3 linked regions of the Astyanax mexicanus genome follow. The protein of the gene in region 3 purifies or fractionates together with the protein of the main gene of each other region. This does not show direct contact. Links are inferred from orthologs where the notes say so. Each region holds a gene or a part of one and is shown on either strand. Other genes may lie near its edges.

What was found.
Region 1: the proteins of lin37 (region 3) and e2f4 purify together in Homo sapiens (co-immunoprecipitation; 4 studies listed by BioGRID and IntAct, with this or other methods). This does not show direct contact. The link is inferred for Astyanax mexicanus from reciprocal best matches to the Homo sapiens genes LIN37 and E2F4.
Region 2: the proteins of lin37 (region 3) and rbl1 purify together in Homo sapiens (affinity purification with mass spectrometry; 3 studies listed by BioGRID and IntAct, with this or other methods). This does not show direct contact. The link is inferred for Astyanax mexicanus from reciprocal best matches to the Homo sapiens genes LIN37 and RBL1.

What each region holds. Positions count from the first base shown.
Region 1 is NC_064417.1:15,560,874-15,571,840, reverse strand, and holds the start of e2f4 (transcription factor E2F4), read left to right. Parts: upstream 1-6,640; 5' UTR 6,641-6,884; coding exon 6,885-7,040; intron 7,041-10,967. UniProt on the Homo sapiens protein: Transcription activator that binds DNA cooperatively with DP proteins through the E2 recognition site, 5'-TTTC[CG]CGC-3' found in the promoter region of a number of genes whose products are involved in cell cycle regulation or in DNA replication.
Region 2 is NC_064412.1:57,359,527-57,371,189, forward strand, and holds the start of rbl1 (retinoblastoma-like protein 1), read left to right. Parts: upstream 1-7,336; 5' UTR 7,337-7,454; coding exon 7,455-7,616; intron 7,617-8,654; coding exon 8,655-8,788; intron 8,789-9,809; coding exon 9,810-10,010; intron 10,011-10,614; coding exon 10,615-10,679; intron 10,680-11,458; coding exon 11,459-11,587; intron 11,588-11,663. Other genes in the region: zinc finger protein 501, read left to right, coding at 102-1,115; zinc finger protein 585A, read right to left, coding at 3,643-5,079. UniProt on the Homo sapiens protein: Key regulator of entry into cell division. Directly involved in heterochromatin formation by maintaining overall chromatin structure and, in particular, that of constitutive heterochromatin by stabilizing histone methylation.
Region 3 is NC_064425.1:26,442,581-26,453,497, reverse strand, and holds the start of lin37 (protein lin-37 homolog), read left to right. Parts: upstream 1-6,719; 5' UTR 6,720-6,830; coding exon 6,831-6,918; exon of another isoform or gene 6,919-6,927; intron 6,928-7,231; exon of another isoform or gene 7,232-7,284; intron 7,285-8,069; coding exon 8,070-8,165; intron 8,166-10,176; coding exon 10,177-10,252; intron 10,253-10,917. Other genes in the region: proser3 (proline and serine-rich protein 3), read right to left, coding at 518-639, 3,349-3,506, 4,393-4,679, 5,646-5,754, 5,869-5,879.

The sequences.
Region 1 (10,967 bases), on a different chromosome or scaffold from region 3:
TCGAACCCCTAATAATCAGAACAATTACAATAGGGTTTCTAGCACTACGTGCTCGAACCCCTAATAATAATAATCAGAACAATTACAATAGGGTTTCTAGCACTACGTGCTCGAACCCCTAATAATAATAATAATCAGAACAATTACAATAGGGTTTCTAGCACTACGTGCTCGAACCCCTAATAATAATAATAATAATCAGAACAATTACAATAGGGATTCTAGCACTACGTGCTCGAACCCCTAATTACAATAGGGTTTCTAGCACTACGTGCTCGAACCCCTAATAATCAGAACAATTACAATAGGGTTTCTAGCACTACGTGCTTGAACCCCTAATAATAATCAGAACAATTACAATAGGGTTTCTAGCACTACGTGCTCGAACCCTTAATAATAAGATTACGAAGAACAGTAAGTTGGCTTTTCCAAGCCAACTTAATAACTAGAAAAGGTAAAGTTCGTGAACGAACTTTAAGTTGGCTTGGAAAAGAACGCTAATAACGTTAAAAATTTAAAATGGTTGCTAAGCTGTTTCTGTCTGAAGAGTGTGAAGAGTCATTGATATGCTGTTAACCTGTGGCTAAACGCTAAATGCTAAAAATGCTGAAATCTAAAAACTTTTCTTGAAACGCTGAAATCTAAAAACGTTTGGTAAAACGCTGAAATCTAAAAACATTTGTTCAAATGATGAAATCGTAAAACTTTTGGTTAAGCTTTTGATTGCTAATGTGTTGCTAGGCGGTTGCTATCATTTCTGAAGTGGTTGCTAAGCTGTTGCTAGGCAGTTGATAATATTTTCCAGGTGGTTGCTAAGCTGTTCCTAACTGTTTGCTAGGCAGTTGCTAACATAAACCAGGTGGTTGCTAAAGTGTTGCTAGGTGGTTGCTAGGGTGTTGCTAGGTTGTTGCTAAGGTGTTCCTATGGTATCCGGGGTGGTTGCTAAGATGTTGCTAGGTGGTTGCTAACCTGTTGCTAGGTGGTTGCTAAGGTGTTGCTATGGTATCTGGGGTGGTTGCTAAGGTGTTGCTAGGTGGTTGCTAGGTGGTTGCTAGGGTGTTGTTAGGTGGTTGCTAAGGTGTTGCTACAGTATCTGGGGTAGTTGCTAAGGTGTTGCTAGGTGGTTGCTAGGTGGTTGCTAAGGTGTTGCTATGGTATCCGGGGTGGTTGCTAAGGTGTTGCTAGGTGGTTGCTAGGTGGTTGCTAGGGTGTTGCTATGATATCCGGGAGGTTGCTTAGGTGTTGCTAGGTGGTTGCTAAGGTGTTGCTATGGTATCTGGGGTGGTTGCTAAGGTGTTGCTAGGTGGTTGCTAAGGTGTTGCTAGGCGGTTGCTAAGGTGTTTCTAAAGTGGTTGCTAAGTGGTTGCTAGGCAGTTGCTAACATTTTCCATGTGGTTGCTAAGTGGTTGCTTAGTGGTTGCTAGGCAGTTTATGTCATTTCTAAAGTGGTTGCTAGGCAGTTGGTAACATATTCCACGTGGTTACTTAGTGGTTGCTAGGCAGTTGCTGTCATTTCTAAAGTGGTTGCAAGCTGTTTCTAAACAGTTGCTAACGTTTTCCAGGTGGTTGCTAAGCGGTTGCTATGTAGTTGCTATCATTTTTAAAGTGGTTGCTAAGTGGTTGCTAGGCAGTTGCTATCATTTCTAGAGTGGTTGCTATGCAGTTGATAACGTTTTCCAGTTGGTTGCTAAGTGGTTGCTAGGCAGTTGCTAACGTTTTCCTAGTGGTTGTTAAGGTGTTGCTAAGTGGTTGCTAGGTAGTTGCTATCATTTCTAAAGTGGTTGTTAAGGTGTTGCTAAGTGGTTGCTAGGCAGTTGCTATCGTTTCTAAAGTGGTTGCTAAGTGGTTGCTAGGCAGTTGCTAACGTTTTCCTAGTGGTTGTTAAGGTGTTGCTAAGTGGTTGCTAGGCAGTTGCTATCGTTTCTAAAGTGGTTGTTAAGGTGTTGCTAAGTGGTTGCTAGGCAGTTGCTATCGTTTCTAAAGTGGTTGCTAAGCTGTTGCTAGGCAGTTCCTAACGTTTTCCTGGTGGTTGCTAAGGTGTTGCTAACTGGTTGCTAGGCAGTTGCTATAATTTCTAAAGTGGTTGCTAAGTGGTTGCTAGGAAGTTGCTAATGTATTCCTGGTGGTTACTAAGTGGTTGCTAGGCAGTTGCTAACGTTTTCCAGGTGGTTGCTAAGGTGGTTGCTAAGCAGTTAATAGGTGGTTGCTAAACCCTGGCAGGGGTGCCGGGGTGTCCAAACTTTTGACTGATAGCTGCTCCATACAGCAGCTCCTCCATACACTCACAGTACTGGAGGAGCAGGGGAGAGAAGGGGTTCCGTGCGCAGAGCTGCTTGTGTGCAAGATGGAATTCTGGGCCCCACATTCATTTCTATGGGGAAACTTCGTACGACATTTGTACGAAAACCGTACAACGTATCATTTTATTAATTTAAAGATCTCGACAAGATCTATAAGCCCTCCGAATTTGGTCTTCGTATCTCAAAAATTGTGCCGTACACGGCTATTCAAAATTCTCCTAGTTCATTGTCTATGGGAAAAAAGGCGCACGTTTACGAAGTTTTTACGAAAACCATACGATATATCGCTTCAAAAAGCATAAGCAACCTAATCGGGTATAGGTCCTACGATACTGTAAAATTTTGTCATTCTACGTCAAAAGCTGTAGGAGGAGTAGTCGATTAAATTTCGCGAATAGAATAATAAGTAGAACTAGAAAAGGTAAAGTTCTTGAACGAACTTTAAGTTGGCTTGGAAAAGAACACTAATAACGTTAAAAAGTTAAAATAGTTGCTAAGCTTTTTCCGTCTGAAGAGTATGAAGAGTCATTGATATGCTGTTAACTTTTGGCTAAACGCTAAATGCCAAAAACGCTGAAATCTAAAAAACGTTTGGTTAAACGCTGAAATCTAAAAACATTTGGTTAAACGCTGAAATCTAAAAACGTTTGATTAAACGCTGAAATCTAAAAACGTTTGGTTAAACGCTGAAATCTAAAAATGCTTGTTTAAATGCTGAAATCGTAAAACTTTTGGTTAAACTTTTGATTGCTAATGTGTTGCTAGGCGGTTGCTAATGTTTTCCAGGTGGTTGCTAAGCTGTTGCTAACTGGTTGCTTGGCAATTGCTAACATATACCAGGTGGTTGCTAGGTGGTTGCTAGGGTGTTGCTAGGTTGTTGCTAAGGTGTTGCTATGGTATCCGGGGTGGTTGCTAAGCTGTTGCTAGGTGGTTGCTAAGGTGTTGCTATGGTATCTGGGGTGGTTGCTAAGCTGTTGCTAGGTGGTTGCTAGGGTGTTGCTAGGTGGTTGCTAGGTGGTTGCTAAGGTGTTGCTATGCGGTTGCTAAGGTGTTGCTATGGTATCCAGGGTGGTTGCTAAGGTGTTGCTAGGTGGTTGCTAGGTGGTTGCTAAGGTGTTGCTATGCGGTTGCTAAGGTGTTGCTATGGTACCTGGGGTGGTTGCTAAGGTGTTGCTAGGTGGTTGCTAGGGTGTTGCTATGGTATCCAGGGTGGCTGCTAAGGTGTTGCTAGGTGGTTGCTAAGGTGTTGCTAGGTGGTTGCTAAGGTGTTGCTATGGTATCTGGGGTGGTTGCTAAGGTGTTGCTAGGTGGTTGCTATGTGGTTGCTAAGGTGTTGCTATGCGGTTGCTAAGGTGTTTCTAAAGTGGTTGCTAGGCAGTTGCTAACGTTTTCCATGTGGTTGCTAAGTGGTTGATAAGTGGTTGCTAGGCAGTTTCTATCATTTCTAAAGTGGTTGCTAGGCAGTTGCTAACATATTCCACGTGGTTACTAAGTGGTTGCTAGGCAGTTGCTGTCATTTCTAAAGTGGTTGCAAGCTGTTTCTAAACAGTTGCTAACGTTTTCCAGGTGGTTGCTAAGTGGTTGCTAGGTAGTTACTATCATTTTTAAAGTGGTTGCTAAGTGGTTGCTAGGCAGTTGCTATCATTTCTAGAGTGGTTGCTATGCAGTTGATAACGTTTTCCAGTTGGTTGCTAAGTGGTTGCTAGGCAGCTGCTAACGTTTTCCTAGTGGTTGTTAAGGTGTTGCTAAGTGGTTGCTAGGTAGTTGCTATCATTTCTAAAGTGGTTGCTAAGTGGTTGCTAGGCAGTTGCTTTCATTTCTAAAGTGGTTGCTAAGCTGTTGCTAGGCAGTTTCTAACGTTTTCCTGGTGGTTGCTAAGGTGTTGCTAACTGGTTGCTAGGCAGTTGCTAACGTTTTCCAGGTGGTTGCTAAGGTGTTGCTAGGCAGTTGCTAACATTTTCCAGGTGGTTGCTAAGATGTTGCTAACTTGTTGCTAGGCAGTTGCTATCATTTCTAAAGTGGTTGCTAAGTGGTTGCTATGCAGTTGCTAACGATTTCCATGTGATTGCTAAGGTGTTGCTAACTGGTTGCTAGGCAGTTGCTATAATTTCTAAAGTGGTTGCTAAGTGGTTGTTAGGCAGTTGCTAACGTTTTCCATGTGGTTGCTAAGTGGTTACTAACTGGTTGCTAGGCAGTTGCTATCATTTCCAAAGTGGTTGCTAAGTGGTTGCTAGGCAGTTGCTAACGTATTGCATGTGGTTACTAAGTGGTTGCTAGGCAGTTGCTGTCATTTCTAAAGTGGTTGCTAAGCTGTTGCTAGGCAGTTGCTAACATTTTCCAGGTGGTTGCTAAGGTGTTGCTAACTGGTTGCTAGGCAGTTGCTATCATTTCTAAAATGATTGCTAAGTGGTTGCTAGGCAGTTGCTAACGTTTTCCATGTGGTTGCTAAGGTGTTGCTAACTGGTTGCTAGGCAATTGCTATCATTTCTAAAGTGGTTGCTAAGTGGTTGCTGGGCAGTTGCTAACGTTTTCTATGTGGTTGCTAAGTGGTTGCTAACTGGTTGCTAGGCAGTTGCTATCATTTCTAAAGTGGTTGCTAAGTGGTTGCTAGGCAGTTGCTAACGTTTTCCATGTGGTTGCTAAGGTGTTGCTAACTGGTTGCTAGGCAATTGCTATCATTTCTAAAGTGGTTGCTAAGTGGTTGCTGGGCAGTTGCTAACATTTTCTATGTGGTTGCTAAGTGGTTGCTAACTGGTTGCTAGGCAGTTGCTATCATTTCTAAAGTGGTTGCTAAGTGGTTGCTAGGCAGTTGCTAAAGTTTTCCATGTGGTTGCTAAGTGGTTGTTAGGCAGTTGCTATCATTTCTGAAGTGGTTGCTAAGTGGTTGCTAGGCAGTTGCTAATGTATTCCACGTGGTTACTAGGCAGTTGCTATCATTTCTGAAGTGGTTGCTAAGTGGTTGCTAGGCAGTTGCTAACGTTTTCCATGTGGTTGCTAATGTGTTGCTAACTGGTTGCTAGGCAGTTGCTATCATTTCTAAAGTGGTTGCTTAGTGGTTCCTAGGCAGTTGCTAACGTTTTCCAGGTGGTTGCTAAGGTGTTGCTAACTGGTTGCTAGGCAGTTGCTATCATTTCTAAAGTGGTTGCTAAGTGGTTGCTAGGCAGTTGCTAACGTTTTCCAGGTGGTTGCTAAGGTGTTGCTAAGTGGTTGCTAGGCAGTTGCTAACGATGAGCAGGTTTCTGAGGAGGAAGATGATGTGGATTATCGACTGGAAGACACAGACACGTGATCAGTCTGATGAGGAGGACATCAGTGCTAAAGCTGCTCCCGTTCCTGCTTCCTTTCGTGACAAAAAGCCCAGAATCATCCTGGACTATAACAAAAACAAAGGAGCAGTGGACACCATGGACAAGCTGACTGCCACCTACACTTGCTAGCCAATAACGAGAAGAGGGTCAATGTTTGTATTTTACAACATCCTTGATGTGTCTGCACACAATGCATTCAACATCAGCCACAACAGCCACAACCCCAGAGTGACCATCTGATTCAAAAATAAAGAAATTTCAGGTCTGCCCTAGCAATAAGGACAGAAAGACAAATACATTGTGCTTCACCTGCAAAAAATACTTCTGCAAAGAACACACAAAAAGTTTCACTTTTTGCCACACATGCCTCTAACAATACTAACGCACCTAAAAACTAGAACTTGATTTCTGTTGGTTTGATTTGCTTGATTGGTTGTTTGTTTGACCTTGAAAATTTCCATTTTATTATTATTATTATTATCTATAAAAAACATTTCTGTTCTTTGCCTTTTTCTTAAAGTATTTTATATATTGGTTAAAATTGACCTGTAACACCATAGATGTTACTAGAGTTAATATTATAAAACATATACATGTATTTATTTTTTACATTTAAGAAATGTGTTCTAAAACCCTTCAGTAATAGTCAGGGAATATATCAACCTTTTTTAAAGTTTTATTATTCTCTTGAGGTTCATTTGGCAATATTTTTATATTGAAAATCAGGGGTATGCTCTCAAATGAAGGGCCCAGGGGGCCCCAAAAAAATTTTTTAAAATCAAACCTTTCATGGATGATCAACCCTAACAAGGTAACTAAGAGGTGATAAACAAATTGGATCATAAATAATTGTTTTTAGGGTATCTTAGGGCTGATTTAAGACATGGGTCAAAACCGACCCGTTAACATAAGCAATAGTAACACTAGAGGAAGGTTAAAAGCCCATGCGGTGAACTCGCTGTTTTGTCGCCTCCTAAAGGAACTTCCACACGCTGCAATAATGTCTTCTTTTCATCTCCCATGATGCACTGCGTTTTAACGGCTTCAGTCATTCAAGTAGTGCAGTCGGTGTGTGTGTAGCTACGCGATCACTTGGAGCTCCGGATCCGGATCCGTGTCCTGGACTGGACTGGACTGGACCCGACCCGTGTTAAACTCGAATTTCCACTCCATGTTTCGCACACTGCTGGACTGAAGAGAAGCAATCGACTTACTCACAGATATATGACAGACTCACAGAGACAAACCGCCGACATTAAGCAGCACCAGAACTTGGATGGAATTTGACTCAGGGCGGAACGAACTGGGAGCGATGGGGGAACCTTTGCAGCCGGCGACGCCGAGCCGCCACGAGAAAAGCCTCGGACTATTAACCACCAAGTTTGTTACCCTGCTGCAGGAGGCGAAGGATGGAGTGCTGGACCTCAAAGCCGTAAGCATGACATATTGTCCGTGTCTCAAATGGTTCCGTGCTCCTTGTGTAGGGCGCTGCACAGCTCATAATATATCGGCTTCTCTGGGGAAAGTAGTGCATCGTATCTTTAAAAAATGGGCTTACCATTCCCTCATAGACCTCATTATTGATTGCCAAACCTTCCGTTACTTGTTAGTACACTAGTTAAGAAGGGAACACGGGGGTGCTTGAGATCGGACCCCAGTTAGCACGTTGTTGGTTAGCGTTAGCTAGCTAGCTCATCGTGTGCATTTACCGTGGAAACTTTTGTAATGCTTTTACAGCTTGTCTTACTCCTCTTCCCTGCTCAGAATCGTGGAGTTTTTGTTTCAGTTGTGAATCTTTTAATAAAGTTGTTCGAAAGTTAGTCTCGGCCTGTTTGACGGCACTTGGAGAGAATGAAAACAGCCAGTTAGTTGCGCGCCTCAGCATTGCAGAGCTGACTATGTGTCATGAGTTGCCGTATGTTGCCTTTATTAGTTATCTAGTTAATTAGCCATAGTGAGATTATTATTATTATTATTATTATTATTATTATTATTATTATTATTATTATTATTATTATTATTATTATTGTTATGTGGTGGAACTGGGGGTTACTGATCCTGTACTGCGGTCAAGCCAGCCTCCACTTCCACATACTTGGTCAAAGTAGCCGCCGCGTTGGGGCATTGGGACAACAGGACATTATGATGTCATTTCAAAATAAAGGCCCGTCAAATTATAACAATTGTTATTTTAATCTAGGTTTAGACCTGTATTATAAGGAATATGATATCGCAGATCAATTTCACGTAGTCCTGTAGTACACCATTTGTATATGTCACTCACTTAATAACGGGACAATATACAGACAATATAAAGGCCCATTCAATTATAACTATTTTGACTTAATATTTAGACTGTTATTAAAGACAATCCACCTGTTAATATGAAGGCTTTTTGGAATGTAATAATTGTTATACTTTAAATGATCTTTATTTTACATTTACACATCATATTGTCCTATTTTTAAGTGTGTGACTCAAAGTGCTGTACTATCAGGACTGGGTAGAACTTATCTTAGTTAGCAGATGGATTCCTTTTAAAAAGTTTAAATTCAGAGTAAAATATTATTTTTGTTATAATTTAAAGGGCCTTTATTTTGAATTTACACATCGTATTGTCCTGTTAAGTGAGTGCCGCACACACACATGCGCTATACTATCAGGACTAGGTGCCAATGATCTGTGATAATAGGGCTGCAGCTATCGATTATTTTTGTAATAGAGTACTCTACTACAAATTTATGTGATTAATCGAGTAATCGGATAAAACGTTTTTGCTTGGTTAAAGAGCAATTAATAAGACACAAGGGAAAACAAGACATTTCACTTAATAATGAATGACCAATTGGTTTCCTTGTTTAGATAAGTAATATTTTAAAATTCACAACATACTTTTTCCAAGGTACATATACAAATACTTAAAACACAATAAAGAAATAAATACCACAAGTAAAAAAATACATTTAATTACATTACTTTTAAATTTGGATTTATTGTAAGTATCAAATATAGGGTATTAATCAATAAAAACGGCATAAACATTGGCTTTGTGTTGTGCATCTTAGCTTCTGAACAGCAGAGATGTTGTTAGTTCTGCCAATAAGGGAGAAGTGTGCTGCATTCTTTTACCACCAAGCCGGTTCTCCCAAATATATCAGGACCTGTGGAATAATTGTGACGACAGAAGTATTAAAAAGGCCGTGTCTCCATTGTAATAAACTAACCACACAAATTAGACAACATTCCTAATAATCCACACTCCACAGGGCTGCCGTTATATTAAGATACATTAATGTTAATATCATTGATTTTATTCCTTTAAAATCGCTGTATTCCCTCACCGCTTCCATATTCCTGCTGCTCAACTTAAACCTCCCCCTCCTTCTTCCTGGGCGAGGGAGCTGAGTGCGTTATTTCACAATAAATATTGCGAAAATACCGCATTCAGAGACCGAGTCTTATTTTTCATGTTTAACTTTTATAATAGGATAGAGTTCAGATTGTTAAGGCTCTAATTGTTCTATTATTTTGTACATTCCTGTATTTGTTTATTATTTATTTTTTTGTTGCACATTGCTGTTTTAATATTGCACACTGCTGCTACCAAAAAAAAGCCAATAGATTGCATTACATATATATCTTAATTAATTTATTTAAATTTGACCTTTAGTGCCTAATGTGGTGTATTACAGATCACTTTGCATCACTTATATCAAGCCCACCTTTTGAAATAAGCTATTGTTAATTTGATGAATCAAACCAATGACTGACCATAGACTAATCTAAAACTGGCATAGGCCTCTCTGCTGTAAAAAAAAGAAAAAAGAAAATCGAGAATCGAATGGAATCGTGACCCTAAAATCGGAAATAATATCGAACAAAATATATATATATATATATATATTAAATATCTTTTTGATATTACCTTATGGGATGAAAACATATCAAAATATATATCGTATATCGCAATTCAGAAAAAAAATATTGAGATATAGGTTTTGATCCATATCGCCCACTCCTAGCGTAAACACGGTAGGTAACCGCAGGGTTCGTACAGTCATGAAAACCTGGAAAAGTCATGAAATTTCAAAACAGCAAATCCAACCGGAGCTTCAGCTGCTGCACTGTAACTCTAATTCACTCAGTGAGAGAAACTTGCTGATTTAGTGCTCTCCGGCTTCATTCAGACTAATAAAAGGCAGATACGCGAGGACCTGAACTGCAGAAATGTGACTTTGTACACAGGAGAAGGAGCACGGGCTAGCTAGCGTTAGCTACTTAAACACCAGACTGATGCTGCTGCTCTCATTCCGGCCCTGGTATTTACCCCCGGGAAAAGCCCGGTTACCCTGCAGCGCTAAAGCAACGAAATCTCGCTGTTCCTTTAAACTGTGATTCAACAGACTGTCCAGATTTAACTTCTTAAAACCCACCGAGGAGACATGAGCGCCCGCCCCTGCCTGTAGGACTGAGAGTAAAAGAGATGAGAGGTGTGTGTGTGTGAATGAGGGGGTTATGCTTATTCAGTGTAGGTCGGTTTATATACATATATATCTTCAATTAATCTCTCCACATTTTCCATTAAAAATAAATGTTGAAATTAGAAGGAAAATGACTAGCTCCGTTTTAGTTTCTGAAAGAACAACATAGCCCGAGAGCAAAAACACATTTTAAGTAGGATACAGGCCTACTATAATCAGTTTTATTGTTCATGTCTGCACTGATATTTTAAAGACTGTACGGTCATGAAAATTTGAAAAGTGTATGAACCCTGTAACAGCTTCAGACAGTCTGTCCAAAGCTGTGCACCTCACTTCCACACAGTTTTGCGCAAATATTTCCAGCTGAATTCATGCTTTTAATCCCAGAAACACGCTATTATTTACCTTTTAAAAGGCCATGTAAATGCTTAATTATTGTTGTTTTGCTGTTTTCCTCCAGTTTTGAGTGCTTAGCTGACTCTAAAATGCTGACTCAGCTCTTGGTCTGTCCAGATCTCTGTCCTGAGACAGCGTGCTGGTGGGGGTGGGGCTGGTGATGTCACTGATCCTGCGTTGTGTAATATTGGGGATATATATTGCAGACAACTAAAACAATGCGATGTAAAAAAAAATCCAATATCATGCAGCCCTAGTCTAAACCTAATGTAAAGCAACATCTATCCATCGTCAATACCCACTTTGTCCGGAGGGCTGGGGTGAAATGAAGCTGGAGCCTATCCCAGCCGGCATCGGGCGGAGGGCAGAGTACACCCTGGACAGGCCACTAATGTCAAGTAAAAATGTATATCATGGATATTTTTCAAGAATCTGTCTTTTTTAAGGTATATCACGGTATTATTTAATTTAATTTATTTTTT
Region 2 (11,663 bases), on a different chromosome or scaffold from region 3:
AGTCTCTGGTTGAGATTTAACTTCACAAATACATGCAATTAGAAGATTTTAAGAAGATGTTTTGCTGCTGAAAGTGTGAAAGAACCTCCAATATTTGGAAAATGTCCTCTCCCGCACCTCACGAACAAATGCAGGAAAATGCAGACAAGAAAACTCATCACTGCTCAGAGTGTGAGAAGAGTTTCTATAATCAGAGTGCTCTACGGAGACACCAGCGCGTTCACACTGGAGAGAAACCGTATCAGTGCTCAGAGTGTGGGAACACTTTTACTCAACAGAGATCTCTCGATCAACACCAGCTCATTCACACAGGAGAGAAAACCTATCACTGCTCAGACTGTGGGAGGAGCTTCAGTCAGCAGAGTACTCTCAATCAGCACAAGCTCATTCACACTGGAATAAAACCGTATCACTGTTCAGACTGTGGGAAGAGCTTTGCTAGACCGAGTCATTTCAAAAGACACCAGCTTATTCACACCGGAGAGCGTCCGTACTGGTGCTCAGAGTGTGGGAAGAGCTTTACTCACCAGGGTACACTCCGTCTGCACGAGCGAATTCACACCGGAGAGAAACCCTATCACTGCTCAGACTGTGGGATGAGCTTTTCTAGACTGTTTCACTACAAAACGCACCAGCTAATTCACACCGGAGAGAAACCGTTTCACTGTTTACACTGCGACAAAACGTTCACGAGACAGAGCCATTTCAAAACTCACCAGCGCATTCACACAGGAGAGACGCCGTATCACTGCTCAGAGTGCGACAGAAGTTTTAAACAACTGGGTCACCTTCAAAAACACCTGCGCATTCACACTGGAGAGAAACCGTATCAGTGCCCGGAGTGTGGGAGGAGATTCAAACAGCAGAGTAATCTCCTTCAGCACCAGCGAATTCACACCGGAGAGAAACCGTATTACTGCTCAGAGTGTGAGAAGAGCTTCAGACACTCAAAGACACTAAAGATTCACAAGTGCATGAAGAACAGTCACATAAGTGAGCAGATACACACTATTCCAGGTTCCAAAATTACAAATCCAGATTTAAACAACGGGGCTGGCTTGTTTATAGAGGAAAAAAACATGTTGCTTGAAACAGTTTCTGAAACATGTTCATAAAATATGAATTACAAACACGTGCACCTAAAATCCTTTAATTTTCCAAAAAATAATCAGAGCTGCTTATAATCCGGTGCTCCTTATGTATGAATTCTATCAGTCAGGTATTAAGGAGCGTTAAAGCCACTCCACTAAAGTACAGCGCTTATAAATACAGCGCTTGTAAGGCCGTCATAATGCAGCCTTACTTATTTTGGTGATTTTGGTTAAAAGGATATAGATTGTTTTAACACGGTAGAAACGCAGACTACAGTCCAATATGCAATATATTGGACGTAGCATGTTAAAACAAGCCACGTCCTTTTCACCAAAATCACCGTTTTTAACAGGATAAAAACGCAGACTACAGTCTACTATCCAATAATGGACTGTAGTCTGTGTTTTTACCGTGTTAAAACAAGCCACATCCTTTTCACCAAAATACGTAAGGCCACAGTATGACGTTTTGTCATTTTCGACCAATCAGGAAACCTTGTTTTTTTTCCATGAAAAATTAGTCAAATGATTGAGAAAATGCCTGGGCATGTTCAATTGGACCAAATTTCATTGAGATATGCAACAATATGCACTTTTCATTTTTCACCAAAATAAGGCCACGGTATGATGTTTTGGTCTAAAAATGACTCGAATGAGTGAGAAATTGTAACTTCTAACTGATAACAGAAATGTTATTCAGCTAGTGAAACGTGACATTTTAATATAGGCCTGCTATAACTGGTTTTGACATGGATTCTTAGATTTTTGTTTTTTTTCCATGTCTGCACTGATGTTTTAAAGATCGTATGGTTATTAAAATTAACTGCAAAGACATGAACTCTGATTAACAGGATCAGGATTTTAACCTTAAAATATTTGCAGCCAATCAATGTTTAGAAATAGGTCGGCCCTCTTATGGCTTAAAATGGCCTAGAACTATATCATGTTCTGTAACTGAAGCATGTTATTTTGCATGTTGGCAAGTGTTCACAGTCTTTATATAAATCTTATAAAAGTTATTTATACTGTACATGTTCCGGCCAAGTGAAGTTAAATGATGTAATCATCCAATAAATCACCATTAAAAATCATTTTTTAAAGCCTTGTGTGATATTTATATTTAGTTTATTTTGTTTATCATTTTATGTGTCCATACTAAGTGTTGTGTAAGATATTGGATATTATACAGTCATGATAATGCACAGTGTATCACGTAAACAAACAGACAATTAAATAAATAAATAAATAAATTGTTTGTATAGTCTTCATGCATGCCCACAGTAATGACAGCCTCAGTTGTAATGTCTTTCGCGGAAAGAAGCTTCTTTTGTCTCCTTTATTATTTGAACAGGCGGCAAGATGGAGTCACAAAAACAGTTTCTGGGTCACAGGAGCTTTTAATTTTGGGGTTTTTGTAGTGTTTAAATTATTGTATGGAAGTGTGTTCACTGTAACAGATACTGACAGAGGAGAAAGAAGAAAAAAAATAACATTACATTCACATGTACTGAGAATAGTGCTGCATGATATTGCAAATGTTATTTTTTTTGGCTATATGTATTGCAATATTAAATAATGCAGAGCCCATGAGTCAGCTTAATGCATCTGTTGTCCTGCAGCCATATAGAGTTTTAACTGACTGGAGGTTATTAGTAGATGAATAAACACAGTGACAGCTGCATGATTTTTTTTATTTAATTTAGATCTCAGGAGATCACAGAATTCAGCATTTCTGTAATTCAGCATTTATTTAAGTAGCTTCAAATTTACATTTCTAATCCCCCTGCTGAAATAACAGGAGCATATTCTGTATGTTATTCCATTATTCCTGTGTTAATTTATGACTAAACTCACCTTTACAACAGAAAGAAGAGCTGAGGACGGTCCAGTCCAGCTGATCGGATGAGGAGCCAATCAAATCGCAGAACTCTAGTTCCGGCAACTAGCTGTCAAAATAAAAGTTCTGAAACGATGCGAGACAATTGCAGCACTTGTTGACATCTAAATATTATTAATAATATCAATATTGTTATATATACATACTTCCGATTAAAATTTTTAGAACATACAATATTTTTGTTCTTTATTTTTGTCATTTAAACTCTTCAGATTAATAACATATTAACACAAAACATACAGCATAAAAAGTCTTAGCTGTTGACTAACATTAGTTGTAGTGCTGGAACATTTATTTAGAAATACAGACACTTATCTATCCATAAATTCTTGCGCTTTTCATGACATCGTAATAAACAACATACATAAAGTTGTAATTGTTTTCTTAACGTGACCTGATGAGCAAACAGACTCAGTTTTTTATGACGTTTTTTTATTGATAAAGCTTTGATTAAACATCAAAAATGCATATATATATATATATATATATAAAACCCTGAAATGTTAATACCTCATATAATGATTGCATAAGGGCCATTCCACGGAATTTCCAGGCCTGCTATTAAATATTAAAAACAAATCAGTCTTTAAATTATAATTTTATTTTTTAAGGGACAACATCTATTCAAACCAATCTAGCCCTGTGTGAATCCATTCATTCATTACTTTGGCTCTTTATGCACTTGTGTGACACTAGTGTTTTACAGTACCTGAAGCTCGTCTCACAATCTGAGCAGTGATACGGCTTCTCTCCTGTGTGAATGCGCCGATGCTGATTAAGATGACTCGGGTGATTAAAGCTCTTCCCACAGTCTGAGCAGTGATACGGTTTCTCTCCAGTGTGAATGCGCTGGTGTTGAATAAGACCACTCGCTTGAGTAAAATTCTTCTTACACACTGAGCAGTGATACGGCTTCTCTCCAGTGTGAATGCGCCGATGCTGATTAAGATGACTCGGTTGACCAAAGCTCTTCCCACAGTCTGAGCAGTGATACGGTTTCTCTCCAGTGTGAATGCGCTGGTGCTGTTGGAGAGTATTCAGAAGATTAAAACTCCTCCCACAGTCTGAGCAGTGATACGGTTTCTCTCCTGTGTGAATGCATTTGTGTCTTTTGAGACCGGTACTTCTAGTAAAACTCCTTCCATAGTCTGAACAGCAATGCGTTTTCTTTCCTGTGTGAATGCATTTGTGTGTTTGGAGACTAATCTGTTGATTAAAACTCTTCCCACACTCTGGACACTGATACGGTTTCTCTCCTGTGTGAATTCGCTGGTGAGTTTTGAGATCACTCTGTTGAACAAAACTCTTCCCACCGTCTGAGCACTGATACAGTTTTATTCCAGTGTGAACACGATGGGGTGTGTTTAGATTACTCCCTTTAGCAAAATTCTTCCCACCGTCTGAAAAGCAATGCGGTTTCTCTCTTGTGTGAATGCGTTCGTGTGTCTTTAGATTACTTTTTTGATTAAAGCTCTTATTACACTCCGAGCAGTGATACGGTTTCTCTCCAGTGTGAATGCTTTTGTGTATTTTGAGACTGCCACTTCTAGTAAAACTCGCTCCACACTCGGAGCAGTAATAGGCTTTTGCTCCAGTGTGAATGCGTTTGTGTCGTTGGAGAGTTCTCTTAAAAATAAAACTCTTCCCACAGTCTGAGCAGTGATACGGTTTCTCTGCTGTGTGAACGCGCTGATGATGAAGAAGATGACTCTGTTGATTAAAGCTCTTTTTACAGTCTGGGCAGTGATACGGTTTCTCTCCTGTGTGAATCCGCTGGTGTGTTTTGAGTTGACCAGATTGAGTGAAACTCTTTCCGCAGTCTGAGCACTGATATGGTTTTATTCCAGTGTGAATGCGCTGGTGTATGGTGAGATTAAACGGATTATTAAAACTCCTTCCACAGTCTGGACAGAAAAAGAGTTCCTCTCCAGTGTGAAGGAGCCGATGTCGGTTGAGATTACTCCCTCTAGTATACATCTTCCCACAGTCTGAGCATTGGTGAGTTTTAATCTTGGGTGTATTTTTCTTTATTTGTCTGTGAGGTCTTGGAGAGGATTTTAGCTGAGAATTGGAGGTTTTTCTGGGTGCCATGTTCTTCCCCTCTTTCAGTAGATTGAAATTTTGGTAAAATCCTGTGATCCTCTGGGTTTATTTGTGATGTTAAATTTGGAAATCCAACACCATAAGCAGGAGACTTGGAACATGTGTGCATTCATTTCTGTAAGAAAAAATAAAACATTTCCTCAATAGTTGTGGACATTTTGATTAGCTTTAGATTTTAATAAGTGGTCACAGATCAAATACAACTGATATTGACACAAAGCAGCTTTACAGAACAAAGAATCAAACAAATCACTTAACATATAATACAGAAACCCCAGTAAGCGTAAGAGTTCATGTAAACTTTGATGTAATCAGTAATGGAGAGTGAGTAACCAGTCCGAGGCATGGATAAACTGAACAAATAGATTGCCAAAACACACAACTGTTTATCCCAGCCATTTAAGATGCATATTAAATGCAAAAGGTGTGAACGGTTGTGTTTTTCACACTCCTTTGTCATCAGATCACCCTGGATGCATGTTAACGACAGGTGTGAACCAGTGAAAGTTCTGGTAACATGGTTAAACATGACTATGTTCAGACTGCGAGCAAATCTGCTATTTGTGAGTGATCAAATCGGATTTGCCTGTCTAGACATCACAAACTAATCTGCATGAGTTGCTGTGGTTTAAGAGCAGTATCAGTAACTAACCCTTCACTTCCTGCCTTAAATGTCAGTGTATATATGCAGCATTTACACATTTACCCACAGCACATTCACACTTTCATCATAATAACTAGAAAAAGACACAGAATCACACAGAACTCTGTAACTGTTAAAAGTAGAAGTCTTTCTTTTCTTTAGAGAAATTACAGATGAAGTCAGAGAGCGGTGAGTACTGTTTCCTACACCTTCAAATAAAGACTCTTAGAAACTGGAGAAAAAAACTGCTACAGGAAGAGTCACGTCTGGCTGACCCACATGGAAACAGCAGCTTTAGCCTTTAGCTCAGATTAACATGATAATATACATTAATTAACCTTACCAGATTCACCTACAGTCTTCATATACACACAGTGCGCTGGCAGAAGAAGTTATTAGGACAATAAAAAACCTGATTAAAGTCAGTAAGAAACACTGAATACAGAGTAAACTAACTACTGACACTCCGCCGTGTTCGCGCTCAGAAGACGCCAGCGGAAGACCTGCGGAGCTCCGCCCAGGAGCCCAGCAGCCAATCAAACTTCAGAAATCTACTTCCGCCCAGGAGCCGCTAGCCCTGTCAAAATAAAAGTTCTACAAGTGTGTTTGTCTCTGTCCCAGTTGCATAATACACACTAATTCTATCCCCCTTATTCAAGGAAATTCCTCCAGTATATATATTGTATATTTTAATGACCCTTTATTAGACTACAAGGAGAGATTTAAAGTAAACTTGATTAGAATTTTAGGTAAATATTATATACACAAAATGTTAATTTTCTAAAAAGATACACTCATTTCATACATTTATTATATAAGATCATCATTTTTTTACCCACAGTGGGGGAATTTGCAACAATAGCAAGGCACTCAGTGCCGAAAATAGATAAAATAAACAGTACAATATATGCATTATAAATAATACAAAATCAAGAACACAGGAGTAATGGAAAAATATTTGACATTATATTACAATTAAAAAAACAACTATTGTCCTTAATCTTTGAATAGCTTGAAGCTTTTCAGTATTATTTGAATCCTATTTTTCACAATAGGTTTGTCTGTTTAAGTTTTTTTTTTGTTATATTTGTGAATTGTGTTTGTTTTATACAATGTTAATTTGGTCTAATATTGTGTCTATTTCATTATGTTGGATTTTAAGTTAATGCATAAAACACAGTAGAAAACAGCATGAAAATATAGTTACATTAAGGAGAAAAGGGGGAGAAAATCCTAAATATAAAGGCCAGTGAAAGCTCATCACAAATTTAAAAAGTAAAGTTTTTAGAAATGTCTTGTTTTTGGTCATTCTAAAGGATTTCAATATAGTAATGTAAATCCAGTAAAAAGATTAAAATATTTTGGTATTGGAGTCAAGTATTTACATCGGTAAATGTAGTATTTACTCAATAAATAAAAATATTAGTAATATATTGCTAATATAGGTCAATGTATGAAAAAAAACGCATATTATATCTCTAAAGTTCAGGTTCACAGAGATGTTGGTAAGTTATCTCGCCGCCATGTTTTATTATTGTTGTTGTCGCTCCGCGTGACGTAGGCAGGTTCTTGCCTCGCTCCCATTGGCTGAGAGCGCGCGGGTTTCGCGCCATTCGGGACCGCGAGCATTGTGGGATAGCGGCTGGAGGAACCGCGGCGCTCCGGTTCTTTGTTGATAAACCGGGTTTATAGAGTTTCAGCGCGGAGAGAAGCGGGAGGAATGCGGGGAAACGGGTCGGATTCCGGGCTCGGTGGGCCGGAGGACGGAGGGCTGATCCGGGAGCGGCTGGAGGCGCTGTGTCAGGAGCTGAACATGGACGAGGAGACCGCGGAGGAGGCTCTGGAGAACTTCACCTCCATCTGGAACACCTACACCCTGGAGGTAGACCAGCTCTTTACCCCCATAAACCAGCGTTACCCTTAAATAAACCACATAAATAAAGTATTTACTCTCATTTACAAGTGATTTATTCATTAAACTGTTATTTCTACGCGTTTATGTAACTGACAGGCAGAGCAGAGCAGCTGAAGCTTCTTTATTAAAGTGTATGTTTTAAAGCCCACAGCTGACCTGGGATCAGAGCAATCCCTTCCACCTTAAATTATTACAGTAGTCTGTGTTGGATCTTAAGGTGGAACGGACTATTCCAACATACAGTCAGCTGTGTGACAAACAAAAGAATAATAATAATATATTTCCCTAAAAAAAAACTTTTTAAAAGCTTGAGTATGATTTGCCTCTTTGACCAAACATTAAAAACTCATATAACCCGTTGTTTATAGGACTTTTGTTGTGTATCACTTTTAAAACATCCGGAATTTGTTGCTTTGTTTGTTTATTTAATTATGTATGTATTTGTGTATGTATGTATGTATGTATGTATGTATGTATGTATTTATTAATTAGAATAAAGCAAGACTTTACGAAAACTAACTATATCTCTACTCTGATAAACTTTTACAGTTTTACAGATACAGGTACCTGGGTTAAATAACACTGACCAGTGAATAAACAAACCACACACTACACTAAGGAAAAAAAAAAAATAAATAAATAAGTATATCTGAATATAAAAAATACCACAGAAGGACATATTGTGCTCATTACCAAATGTATATTTTGAATATCACACATAGAGCAGAAAATATAATAATAATAATAATAATAATAATAATAATAATAATAATAGAAGAACAGTTATGTACAACAGTCATAATGCTTCACAGTATGATAGCACAATATGTATGGAAATATCTTAATTGTAATGTATTCAAGGTTGCTATATTATAGTTATTTGTAGTACGTATATAACTAGAGATCTAGTCCTGGACTAGAATGCAGTACCTGTGTTTTAATGTTCTGTACAGAAGCGTCTCCTGGTCTGATTTTAATGGTGTGTATGATTGTATTCTCTCTCAGGGTGAGGTGGTTCACTGGCTGGCCTGTGCTCTGTACGCTGCCTGTAGAAAGGCTTCTATTCCCACTGTGGGGAGAGGACTGGTGGAAGGAAACTGCGTCTCCCTCACCAGGATACTGCGCTCCTCCAAACTCAGGTAAAGAGTTATTTGCACCTTTGTCTCATGTCATCATACGTTCTCATTAAAAACATTAGTTTGCCTAGCTTAGTGCAGCTTCGTATCCAGAAGTATCCCAACACCACCCATAACCCTTTGAATGTAATTGACGCAAATTGCGGCAAAAATCATGCTTGTTGTTTATACAACTTAATTACTCAGGAACGCATCTACGCACCAACCTGATCATACATTGTGACAAACAGGAAACCCTATTGTTTAAAAAAATCGAACTGACCCCCCGCTGAACTGAAGTGATTTTGAGAAATCTATTGTGAAATACACAGTGCACACGCAGCTTTCAGGTGCGCTCTGAGAGAGTCAGTGCTCACAGGCTTCAGTTATGGATGGGCAGCGACAGAAGCTCATCTGAATGAGGAGAATTACTGTTTTTTTCTATTTTGTATATATATATATATCTATATAGTGTATATTATAATTAAACAGCATTTATCTGATCATTTTGTTGAAGAACTCTTTATTATAATAGTTACTGTTATTATAAGCAGCTAATAGTAAATATCCAGTGTACTAAATCACTTTCATTAGATACGCCTGGTGCTGCTCATGTATTCTGTCGCAGTAATAAGCCATGTAATGAACTATCATCAAAATCCTTATTCTTTCCACTAGTATACACTCTAATCTAACTATTATTGAAAATAAAACACTTGTGTAAATTAATTTGTAGTCTGTACATAAAGTCTGTATAAAGAAAAGTAATAGCATGTGTCTTTCACCTCACATAACTGTGTTATAACGAGTAAAATGGGAACTGACAAAAACAGAGAAAAAACACACCAAAATAAGCTGGGGTTCAAAAGCTTAATGAGTGAAATCAGCTTCTTAATCAGTGGTGAGCAGCCATACTGAGGTAGTGGCCCAGCAAAATAGCACTGTTCACAAGGGTGTATAGAACCAAACAGAGCCTACTGAATTCAATAAAATACAGAAAACCACTATTCCATTATTCTGATCTTCCTCTTCTTCTCTCTTCCAGCCTGATTCAGTTCTTCAGTAAGATGAAGAAATGGGCGGACATGTCGAACCTCCTGCAGGACTTCCGGAACCGAATCAGCCACCTGGAGAGGAATTTTGAAGTGTCCACTGTGATTTTCCGTAAATTTGAGCCCATCTTTCTGGACATGTTTCAGAATCCTCAGGGTGAACCCCCCCGCGTGCCGAGAGGCAGGAAGCACAGGTGAATTTCCACTCGTGTCTTCATGTGTTCTCATCATCCATTAACTGTGTTAAATTTAAGTTATAATACTCTCGAGGTTCGTGCTATAACGTGTAATATTGGCACTGCTGTGCTGCGGTTGTAGGCACGAGGCCACAGGCCGAGTATAGAGTAGATGAGTACAGCAGTGCCAATATTACACTTTATAACTCGAACCTAGAGTGTATTATTGTTTTTGTATTATTATACCACAGTTCCATTATCACTGTTTTCTGAAAGATTTTAAAGAGTTAAAGAGGAGGAGAAAATAGGATCTATTTGGTTATAAAAACTCCACCAGTTAAAATAGTTCCATTGCTGCTCTGTTTGTAGCTGCGCTGTTTGGCTTGTAAGCGCTGCATCGTTGCTAGGTTACCTGTATGTGGCAGAGTAATACAGTAATACATGGAGAGCTTCGGTTACAGTGCATTACCGGCTGATAACAGCACTCATAGAACGCCTCTCAGCCAATCACATTGCAGGGTCGTAACTAAGTGTGGGAGAATAAATGTTTATACATAGTTTCTCACTTTTATTTATTTTGTTGAGTTATAAATGGTTTATAATTACGTTGTCTCTCTTCTAGGCGCCTTCCGTGTCACATCAGTGACGTTTTTAAATTCTGTTGGACTCTCTTCGTGTACACTAAAGGTTGGTTGCTTTTCTTTTATGGGCTTATGTCAAGAAATGCTAGTTTGTTCTTTATTAATGAATGTAAAGTGTTGAAAATGAGATGCAGCAGAACACTGTATGTCTAAAAGCTTGTAGACCTTTTCTCTTTATTGTAAAATGGAATGTTGCAAAAGCAATGGTAAAATTAATCAATCAGTAACCGTATTTTTTGGACTATAAGGTGCACTTTTGCCAAAAATCAACAGAGCTCCTTATGATCCGGTGCTCCTTATGTATAAATTCTGGCAGTCAGGTATTAAGGAGCAGTAAAGACACTTCACTGAAGTACAGAGTTATAATTGTGACGTTTTATAGAAGTTTCTCCAGCACTAAGGCAGGGGCAGCAACATTAGCATTAGCCACTAACCAGCCTAAGCGCTAGCTCTTTCATCGTTTAGAGGCAAGTATATCAGACTGTAGTCTGCATGTTTACCGTGTTAAAACAAGCTACGTGGGACGAACCGCTTGCTAATATCGCCCTGAGTTAGAGAAACACTCACGGTTCTCCGTATAGCGCTATATCGGTCTGCATTTACTAGCGCTAACCGCATCTACCGCTGCTGTTTCCCCAGCTTCCCCATTATAAGGTAAACATGGCAAGACCCCTATTCCTTACTAGTGTCGCTTAAAATGCACTTTATAATCATGTGTGCCTTATGTATGAAAATAATCCAGAAACTAGCGTTCATTGATGGTGCGCTTTTTCTTTTTTCTTTTTCCGAGCTCTAAAACTGTGTTGATTTAATTATGTAACGCAGGTAATTTCCGTATGATCGGAGATGATCTGGTGAACTCTTACCATCTCCTCCTCTGCTGTCTGGATCTGGTGTATGGTAACGCTCTACTCTGCGCCAATAAGAAGGACCTTGTCAATCCGCTTTTTAGAGGTAAATATTATCATTTTTAAGCATTAAGAAGACAATGGGACATATATATTTCTGTACTGCTTTGAATATCACATAC
Region 3 (10,917 bases):
GGTGGGTGTGAGTGAAGCTACACGAGTTGAGAAGCAATCCTTCTTCCTTTAATGCAGAAGCTTTTTCCAGAGGTCTGTAAAACCTGCCAACAGAGCAGAACAGTAAACACAGCCAACACTGTCCTCTCCAACCTGTTTAAATCAGCCTCCAAACAAAGGACTTTTAAGGGAGAGCGGTTTTAAGTCTACCACCACTAGAAGGCAACATTCAGCTACAGTCTGGTCAGAATCAGACTTGTGGGAAGAGCATGCAGATAAACAATAATTTGCTTATCACTTTAGCCTTCGTCAAATGACCTGAGAGAAGACGTCCGTTACAAACCTTCTATGACAGGATGTGCAGTGTATAGTGTGTGACTAATCAAAAGTACCACTTATCTGTCCAGAACAGAACTTCACACAGTTACACCTTCAAAGAAACAGATAAGCATCTCACCACCTCACAAGGTTTCACAATACGAAAGTTTATTCACGATAAGACTGCGTAACCGACAGTGAGAAAGTTTAAGCTTCTTACAAGTGCACTCAGGTCAAGCAGGCCTCTGGGAGGAGAGAGTGACCTGTTGGCCCGAGACTGCTCAGCTGGACTGCGCATGCTGCCTGTGCTATCATTTCTGTCACTCCTGAGTTCATGTGAACCTGTGGAGACAAAAGATAATCAGCATGCCAACTCAAAGCTCTTCAATTTAGTGAATTAATTATGTAAGAAAAAGTTAATAATAACATATAGCATAATTAAACTACTGCATTTTTCAGCACTATAAGTTACGGCGTATTATAAGGCGCACTATCAATGAACGTCTAGTTTCTGGTCTATTTTCTGGTACATTTTTATATATTTTTATGAGGCGCACCTGATTATAAGGAGCATTTTAAGAGACACTAAAATTAACTTGATGGGGGTTAGCTAACTCTTTTAAAGTCAAACGAGCGCTGGATGTTAATCTACACAGATTTCTCTTCTGAAAATTGTTTATTTGGGTGAGTAAAGCACTTCCACTTATTTACAGTAAGCTTAAATTGCCTAATTTCTCCTGGACTAAGGATGGAGCATTAGCATAAGCGGCTAACTGCTCCAGCAGTGCTAGTCAGGTTTAGCAGCAGACAACACGCCAATAATACTCACCTCTGAACGATGGAATAGCGAGCGTGGTTAGTAGGTAATGCTAATGTCGCATCAGCAATGTTAGCCAGGGTTAGTAGCAGGCTACAGGCTAATAATACTCACCTCTGAACGGGTAAACAGCAGTTAGCGGCTAATGCTAATGCTACTTCAGCCCCGATGCTAAAGAACAAAACTGAAACGCTTGTATACCACTGCAATTTGGCCTTTTTTCGCCTACTAACATTCAAACATAAGATGCACTGAATTGAAAGCCACACCGTCAATGATTGGGAAAATGAAAGGATTTTAAGTGCGCCTTTTAGTGCGAAAAATACAGTATTATTTTTAGTAATGTAAATGTCTGAATATGTACAAATTGGGGCTACATAAAACTAAAAATATATATAGCTAGGCCTGATTTTTAATAATAATTACATAGTTATCGTATTGTCATAATATATGAACATGACATCAATAATTTTTAATGACCTCAATATTTATCTTTGTGTTTAATTTAGTGAGGACATCATTTTACTCAGGCAGTCAGTCCAATAGACCCCATTATCCCTGTATTCTGACACATTTTTTGACATAAATTATAAATATAAAGCAAATTATAAATATGAAACAATTATATATTTAAACATTTAAATATTTTCCAATAGAAATGTTTGATTTTTTCCCTAATAATAATAAAACATTTATTGCTCTAAAAAAGTGTGTAACTGCATCCTAATACTTTACGATTAACCTAGATCAGTGGAATACAATGGTCTTAAAATTCCAATAATATCTTTTATAGAATAATTTCTGGGGTAGTGACAGGCCTATATATTGTGACATTAAAGGCAAATGCATGGACTCATCAGATTTCCAGATGTCAATCAGCCAACATTATTAATACACATGAATAGTAAATACTGTACTAAAATAAACAATTCTTATAAGGCCGAACATACTTATATATTATATTTTGTTAGAAGGGTTTGATTAAAACTTAAAAAATGCATTCTAACAGAGAGGTACAAGCAGGGTATTGAAAGTGCACAATCACTCAACTTAAGCATTAAAACATTGTTTTATTTTATGGGTGTTCATATTTCGTTGTATATATGCAACATCTGGTTTCCCTTTAACAAACTATTTCTGAATGACTGCTTTGACATTTCAGCAGATGGCACAATGGACACACACACTTCTAAGATGTCCTTTTCAGGAAGGCATGGTTCATAAGTTTTCTCTCAGTTCTTGCTGACATTTTTAAACCTTATTTAAAAGTGAAAGCAGCAGTTTGTGCAGCATCCTGTTAGATGTATGTCGAGAAGACAAGTCTTCAGTTTCTTTCTAATTTCATTTGGCATTTGAGATCAGGCGTGTCACTCTTCCTCTTACTGAAGTCTGCTTCCTATTTTATTAAATCCCAGTAGATTTAAGAAGCCTTGAGCCGTTCTGTTTTTTAAAATGTTTTAATTATATTACTTGTGTTGCATGTGTTTCCTTTGCATGTGTTTAAATATACACAGATACACAAATTTATTTTAAACTTCTGATACTAATACCAGATTTTCAGGTATCTGCTAATGCCATGTACAGATTTAGACATGAACTCTGATTCAATTGCCGTATTTTTCGCACTTAAAGGTGCACTATCAATAAACTTATATTTTCAGGTCTATTTTCACACATAAGGTGCTACAGATTATAAGGCATATTATGCGACACTAGTAAGGAACAGGGGTGTCGCCATGTTTCCCTTCTAATTTAGCAAGTTTTGCTGCTGGGTGGTGGTGGGGCTAGCTAGCATTAACTAAATGAAGTAAAGCTAAGCTAGGTAAACAAAACTTCAATTGAGTGCTGGATGTTAAATCTACACTGATTTCCCTCATGAAAACTTTTTTGGATAAACATGCAGGCTACAGGCCAATAATACTCACCTCTGAATGACGGAACAGCTAGCACTTAGCACCAAATGCTAATCCTGTCCCTATCTTGGTTCCTTGGGCTAAACTGAAACTCCTGTATAACGCTGCACTTCAGCAGAGTGCCTTTAATGCTCCTTACAACCTGACTAGTAAAATTCATACATAAGATGCACCGAATTATAAGGCACACTGACAATTTTGGGGAAAATTAAAGGATAGTGGGGAAAAATATGATACTCAATACATAAAAATGTATTCGTTTGATTTTGGTATCCTGCCAGAAGTGACTGTAGTGAGCAGTGTCTTATACATGTATCTCACCTCTAAAGTGTTCCTTGGAGATTTGGGTGGGAGTGGAGCTGGAAGGCTGTGGAGAGGAAGAGGACATCGACCACAACGGATGTCCATCTAATCCAGTTGTCACCCTCTGTCTTTCCTCACGGCTTTGTGGTCTTCCATAACGGAATCGCTCAATATACCTTGGAAAGATAAACAAAAAAAAATTGCTTTTTTAAAATGCTCTTGAATGTATAAAGTTTCAATATTTTAATATTTTTATCCTGAAATCCTGCTTTTTCAACTTCTGAACAGAGTCCATGTCCACTGACAAAGGGTACTTGGACATAATAATATAAAACCATTAACAGTATATTGCTTTTTGGTTCTTTATAAGTTAATTTTAAAAATGTTTGTCCACAACAGAGAAAAAAAGTTTAACTATTCTCTGAATTACTGAAGCATCCAATGGGTTCCTTTAGCTTTCATGTCTTGATGCGTGAATAACGGAAAATACAGATAATAAAGATTTTTTTTACATATATGTTTTTAAAATCAGCATTACTGAGCAATATAAACAAGACAAGAGCTTTTTCACAAGTTGCTATAGCATTCAAGATGATTACTATGGTGTGGATAGGTGGTGGTGGAGGTTAAGATAATGTACCAGGTGTTTACTGAGTGGTTCCATAAAAATGAATGGGAGTGAATGGGATAAACAAGGGATGAAAAAACAACAAATGGTCAGTGCGGGTCAGTGTGGCTGCGGTTTAGAAATTGTGGACCTGCCTCAAAGAAGTAGATGCAGTTTGGGGGCTGTCAGACAAAAAGGAAATTTGGTTTGGGTATGGACAAAAATAAACAGAATTGAAAGGAGCAACAAGGAATTAAAAATTGAAACAACTCAAAAATGTATGTCAAATTGGCAGTTTCTGTCCTGAAACAGTACTGGAGTGTGGGTGGGGGTCAGTGCTGACATTATGTAAACATTCTGCTCTATTAGAATACAATAAATAAACAAATTACCATCAAAAACAAATATGGATTTGAACTATTATTACAGGGTTTTACCCTCCCTGTGTGTCATACTTTGCCAGTACTGAAGATTCCTGAGTTCCACTGGGCTCTGTGTGATCTGCTGTTAAAGCCTGGGGCTCTGAGGAGGATGAAATTGTCACACTGGCAGGAGAGGAAGACTGATCGGTGGAAGGCCAGGACTCAGAAAATATCTGCTGATCTTTTACAGACGGAGGAGGGCAGAAAACAACTCGGCGAGATCCTTTAAGGAAGCGCTGGTCCTCTGGGCTGAGAGCTGCAGCGTGAGGAGAAGAGTCAGGAGAACTGGCCAGCTGGTCAAAGCGGACAGGGCTCAGGGCCTGGAGAAATATTCATCATTTAGCCTTTACACAAACAGTCAAATCATAACTAAATTAATCATTAGGATTTTTCACTTAATGTCACAAATAATAGCAAACCTAACATGCTACCAGTGAGTAATGCAAATCAAGTTTTTACTAGCAGAATTTTTTATTTTAGAAATCAAGTATTTATTTTATTCAGGGACTGGAATTTACTATATTTTTGTTCCTTTGGTCACAAAAAAACAAACTACCGGTAAAATGCAGAGAAAACCCCTCACAAACTAAAGTGCACTCTCCCAATATAGGAGGCTTCTCATGGCGGGGGATGTGAAGGCTAGACTACTCCTTTGACTCCCAAATAAAAACATTTATTAAAACAAAGTTGTATAACTATGAAATTAAAGTCGTAATATTACGAGAATAAAGTAATAGTATTTTAAAGGAAATGTAGTTGTAACTGCTTGGGATGCAGTCTAAGAAAGAAGCACGGAGGGAGGGGTAGGGGCATTTTGTGCTCATGATCTGTTACAGGGCTGCTGTGATAACCATCAGTTATCTACATTTCTAACCTGCTGCTTATGTATGTTCTAGTGTTACAGTTAGGTAATACAGTGTCCAGATTTTGACACGGTGGCGTCCCCGGTAGCCTACCTAGTTGGGAAAGCTTGTGCTACTTTTTTCCGCTGCATTTTAGTTTTGCTTTCGTGACCATAGGAACATAAAAACAGTCAATTCCAGTCATGAATAAAGGAAATAAACTTTATACTGATGAAGGACAACTGTCTGTGTGTACTGCAGTAGCATTTAAGGTTGCAAATTTTGGTCGGATCATCAAAAAAAAATACAAGCTGTTATTTGTTTTTTGGCATTATATTTAAAAATTAAATAATTCTCAAATGAAAATCAAAAGACCAAATGATACTGGTAGCCACTTCATGATATCCATTAAAACAGACACACATATACACAGACAGATCTCACCAGTCTCTTCTGCTGCTTAGGAATCTTCTTTGCTCGAGATGGATTGTAATGGGCTCTAGTGAACTGTGGTTCTGGAGGAAAGGGGTTGTGTCTGGTGAAAACAGGATCACTGTGAGGAAAGATTTAGGTGTTAGATTACCATGTCTATTGAAAGCACATATGGTTATGTGCTTATCACAGGACATCAGAATAATACAAAAAACTGCTTCAATTTCTATCTCACCTGGACTTCATGATGATATTCCCAAAATTTCTCACAGTGTTATAACCTTATCAGATTATACAATTTTGGCATATTGTAACAATGAACAACTGAATCAGATGGATTTTAGAAAAGCAGTAAATATTTACCTATGTTAGTTAGGTTAGCTAATAAACAGCTATCTAGCGAAACTTATTGCTTAACTAGGCTACACATCGAACTAACGTTAACGTTGCCTTAACCAGACAGTTGATGACAAATATACTAACTGTAGCTTAGTTAGCTAACCTAGCTTGCTAACATTAACCCAGCGAATTAAGTAGTTTACTAAATGTTCTGAGCGGTTAACAACATGTTCTCAAATCGTGCTGTCTTGTAACGCACTAAAACGTCTATAAAAACACACAATGTTGTGAAATATGAGTTAAATAAAGCCTCACATTTAACCTAAGCGTCTCCAAACATTAACTCCAGTAGGAGAATCTCTATAGAGAAGAGAGTTCCCACTTCAGAATGTTTTCTTGCTTTTTCAGACACTAGAGGGCGCTCCCGATGGAGTCTAAACTAAATGGGTTTAGAAGAAGCAACTGAGCAAAATCATAATTTATAAATGTTTATAAATTTTATACTAAAATATTTACTCACTTTTCTTAACACATAGTAATATAAAATGTTAAATAGCGCAGATATATCTTTAAAATAATGTAAACGCCAGTTATTGGTGTTTTAAATGTGCTGTTGCTCCATCAGCTCCATTTAGAAGGAGCCCGCGACTCTCTCGCGGGCTCCTTCTAGCGGTGTGTGGTAATTGTGTGAAGATTATTGGCCAGTCTCGCTATAAACCGGCTATGCTTTTATCTCCTAGCTACTCAAAACTGTTAGAAACGTCTAAATGGACCGCGAAGAACCAATCAGATGCTGAAGCTGCTGACTGACAAGCCTTTTAACTAATAACATTAAGGAACGCCTAATTGCGTTGACCAATGGGAATCGGGAAATCGTCTTGCGCGCGGAAGAGGAAAGTCAAGCGAACAGAAAAGAGAGAAGAGAGAGTAGCTTTCCAGCTAAACGGTAACTAAGGTGTGATTTATAACGGTGGACACCACTGTGAACATTATTTTTGTAGCAGTTAAATATAATATTAGACGTTTATTAAGCGCTGAGTAAGTGTTTTGCTGGTGTGTAAATGACTGTGTTATTTATAATTATCTCGCTGGCTGGTAAAGTCAACCCTAGCTAAACGGCTAAGCTAGGTTAGCTATTGAGCTGGTGAAGCTAGGATAACTTCACGGCTGTTTGTTACTGGTTGTTTGAGTTGCTTGGCTGGTTTATTATGGTCATTCATTATAGTTCTGTATGTGTTTTCTAATATTTACTCCTAAAGGGACATACATATATGGAGCAGTTAAAGGTTCCGATATATCAGCGCAACAAATTGTTAGCTAGCGATTTAATATTGTGTGTGTGTATGTGTTTTTTGTGTTTTTTTTTTTTTTACCTCGAAGCAAACAGTAAACATAACCCACATAACTAGATAAGCTATAAGCTATTACGCCCCCCCTAATGTATTTAAATAATAAATCAATAAGTTTAAATAAATAAGAAGTCTACATATAAAAGTGTGTTCTCTTACTGAAGATCTTAATATGAATGAACAAATGTGTATATATATATATATATATATATATATATATATATATATATATATATATATATATATATATATAATACAACAAAAATTATGATAACCTAGATGTTTTTTTTTTTATTTACCCATATGAATAATCCTCATTCTAAAGCTCACAAAATAACAAAAGGCCTGGCATTGCTTTTACCAAAGTATACATTAATGTATAAATCCCAGGCTCTACCAAGGTAGTTAGCTAAAAAAGAAAAGTAAGATGTTTCCAGTAACAGAGTAACTGCACTGCAAAGTGATCTAACATCCTGGCTGAGTTTGTCCAAAATTATCTAACTTAGAGTAACCCATAACCAAAGTTTTAGGTGAGCATGTGTTATTACACCAAATATGGTAAAAAGTACCTTTAAAACATTGAAGGGAACCTAGGTTCAAATAGTCAATTTCTTTAATAACCAGTGAATTAGCTGTTATGCATTTTACAGTCAGATTGTCAGTCACTACTGCGACAGTTTTATACACATATTTTATGTTTTTGTTAAGGCAGTGAATATTACTGTCTGACAGATGTACCTTTTCACAGTGTTTATTAATGGATTTGGCTGGGAAGAGCATTTCTTAAGTGAGGTCCAGTCTGCAGTCACAATGCTTCACGTGAAAATCAAGACCGAGAAGCCAGGTAAGCCTTGAACAAAATTTATATTTGGATTCTTTTGTTCTGTTGTACACTTTTATTTTTTTTGTGAATATATTTTTATTGTTTTTTCCTTTTTTCCAAAGAAACAGGTACATATAGGCACACAACTACAACACTATACACAACACAGCACACACACCTCCATCAAGAGTAAAAAAAAAATAATAATAATAAATAAAATCTCCGTAGAATATATAGCAGACATCCACATACATCCGCCTACATACAAATTAACACACAAGCACTCAAAGCACCCTTACATAATACTATGTAACAAATACCCATTCATCAGTTTATTTCAGAAAAACTTATTTTTTATGAAAGCAATAGCTTCTGACCAGTATCGGATTGTAGCTGCTTTAGCATGATGTAATCTGGCAGTGGCCCTCTCCAGCACAAGAACAAAAAAATATAAAAAAGTATGTTTTAAAAGAATTTTCTCCTCCAGACGGAATTTTAATATAGAGATTTTATGGCTGCTGTAACTGTTGTACACTTTTTAACAAAACAAAAAATGGAAATTATTACATAGTCTCAGCACTGTTCTTCACTGTATGAGTGTTTGTTTTTAACCGAGAAATATAGAAAAACAACAGCAAACAGCACTTGTTCACTCAGAAAAGAGTCCATTTTAATATATTAGTACTGTAGCTTAAAGGATTTTTTTAATGCACACTGAATAGAATTTATTTGTTAACTGGGTAAAGAAGGGAGTTGTGGTTAATTTTAATACTGTATTGGCTTCAATGACTTCAGAAATAACATATAGTAAATTGATATTGAACTTTTCTCACTTGGGCAAATGAGCTTTTGAGAAATAGTTCTTTTAAATATTTAAATATTGTGAATTTTTGGTCAAATTAAAAAATATTTTGTTTTGTAAAGAAAGCTGTGTTATAGTTGTTGGCGTGTGTCTTTCAAAGTCTATTGTTTACATTTTTCAGCTGTTTTTCTGTTAATGAAGTTGGATTCCTTCATATATTGTGTAATTTTGTGGGACAAAGTAAACCCAATGCCTTATAGTAAGTACAGTACATTCCAAACCTATATAAAAGCCCATTCATGCAAAAAAAAATAAAATAATGAATTACAGAATTTTGAAAACTACAGTGAAATACGTCTTTGGTTATATGGTCCAGCACTATACTGAGGCATTTAGACACTGAGTCTTGTCACAAGAGAGTATAAAAGTGCTTCCCCTGCTGCCCTTTAATAGACCACTGAAGTTGTGCGTCATTATGTAGTCCTCGTACGGCTTCCGTGTCTAAGTGGTTTTTCCTTATGAGAAAAATTAATAGGGTTTTCAAAAACTCGCCTCTGTCTTATTCTGTCGTAATAAATCTATTCAGACCCCTGTACATTTTATTTTTGTAAATTTTATTCCTGAACATCACTGGAGATCGTTTAAGAGTCGTAATGAGAAAAATGCTAACTTTAAGCTAATGCTACAGCGGAGTGAACTGACCTCCGAGCCCAGCTGCAGAGATCAGCCGGGGACTATTTTCGGCGAAACGCCAGCAAACTCCGGCCGTAATCCTCTGTGAAGAAGAATAATAATCCAAATGTGATCTGACCGGAGGTCGCTGTTGTTATGCAGAATCCAGTCCGGTGTCGTTTCCAGCTGCTGTGCTGAAAAAGTTAGCATTTTTCTAATTCCTCACCTTAAACGCAGGCCAGTTTTTGAAAAGTCCTTTCAAATTCCCTATTTATTTGAGCCGCTTAGACAAGGAACCCCAAATATTGGCATAAACAACATGGCGCCAACTACAAAATGACGACATGACTTCAGTGGTCTCTAAAAGCTTTCCGAGGCAACGTTCACTAGTTCAGCCTGTAATGCTGTGTTTAAAGAAAAGAAAAAAAAAAAGCAAAAAAAAAACATTTAAATAATTATCATATAATTTTAGTGATTACTGCTATCAGCTGACACTGACTGCTAAAATAATCTAAAACACTAAATATTTAACCAGTTATATATGATTTTCTTTTATAGATATTGAAGGTGCCGGTGCCCGAAATCGACTTGATGCTGTGTTGCAAGGTCTGGTGGACAAAAGTGACAATGAGAGGTCAGTATACCAAGAAGAGTGCAGTTCACGGATAAATAGAGATTGCGTAATTCACTGTAAGCAAGCTGAGAGCCGTGCATTTTCAGTGAGTTGTCCCGTAATTGTTCCTTATTTAGGATACTGTTAGTAATTCCCTCATTTTTAATACCTAAGAATAAATAGTGAAAAAAGCTCAGAAAGAATGCAGACAGGAACACTAAATCACAGGGACCTTTAACTTTTAACTGACGTTTGTTTAATATTTTCTCTTCTTACAACTGTTAGTTGTCTGTATGGTTCTATGCATTAGCCAGGCTTGTAAATGTACAGCGTTTGCTATTGATCTTCTTCTTGTTTCCTTTGATTTGATTAGTCTAATTGTAAATTAAGCAAATTTCCTTATTGGGGTTTAGGGATCCTAGTGAAGTTTTCTGTAGCCTTATATTTCAGAAGACAGCAGTTTTTTTTAGACCATTAAAGCTTAACAGCAGGGATGTTATAACATATTCAGCTTGAGTCAGAGTCAGTTCAACAGCCTTAGAGATCATACATAATAGAATGGATTTATTTTATCTATTCTATCTATCTATCCATTATGTGGAATCATTTTTTCACATTGTAATATCAAATTGTTTTTTTAGTGGCTTGTTACATTGCTACATAAAATAAACATTAGGACATTTGTG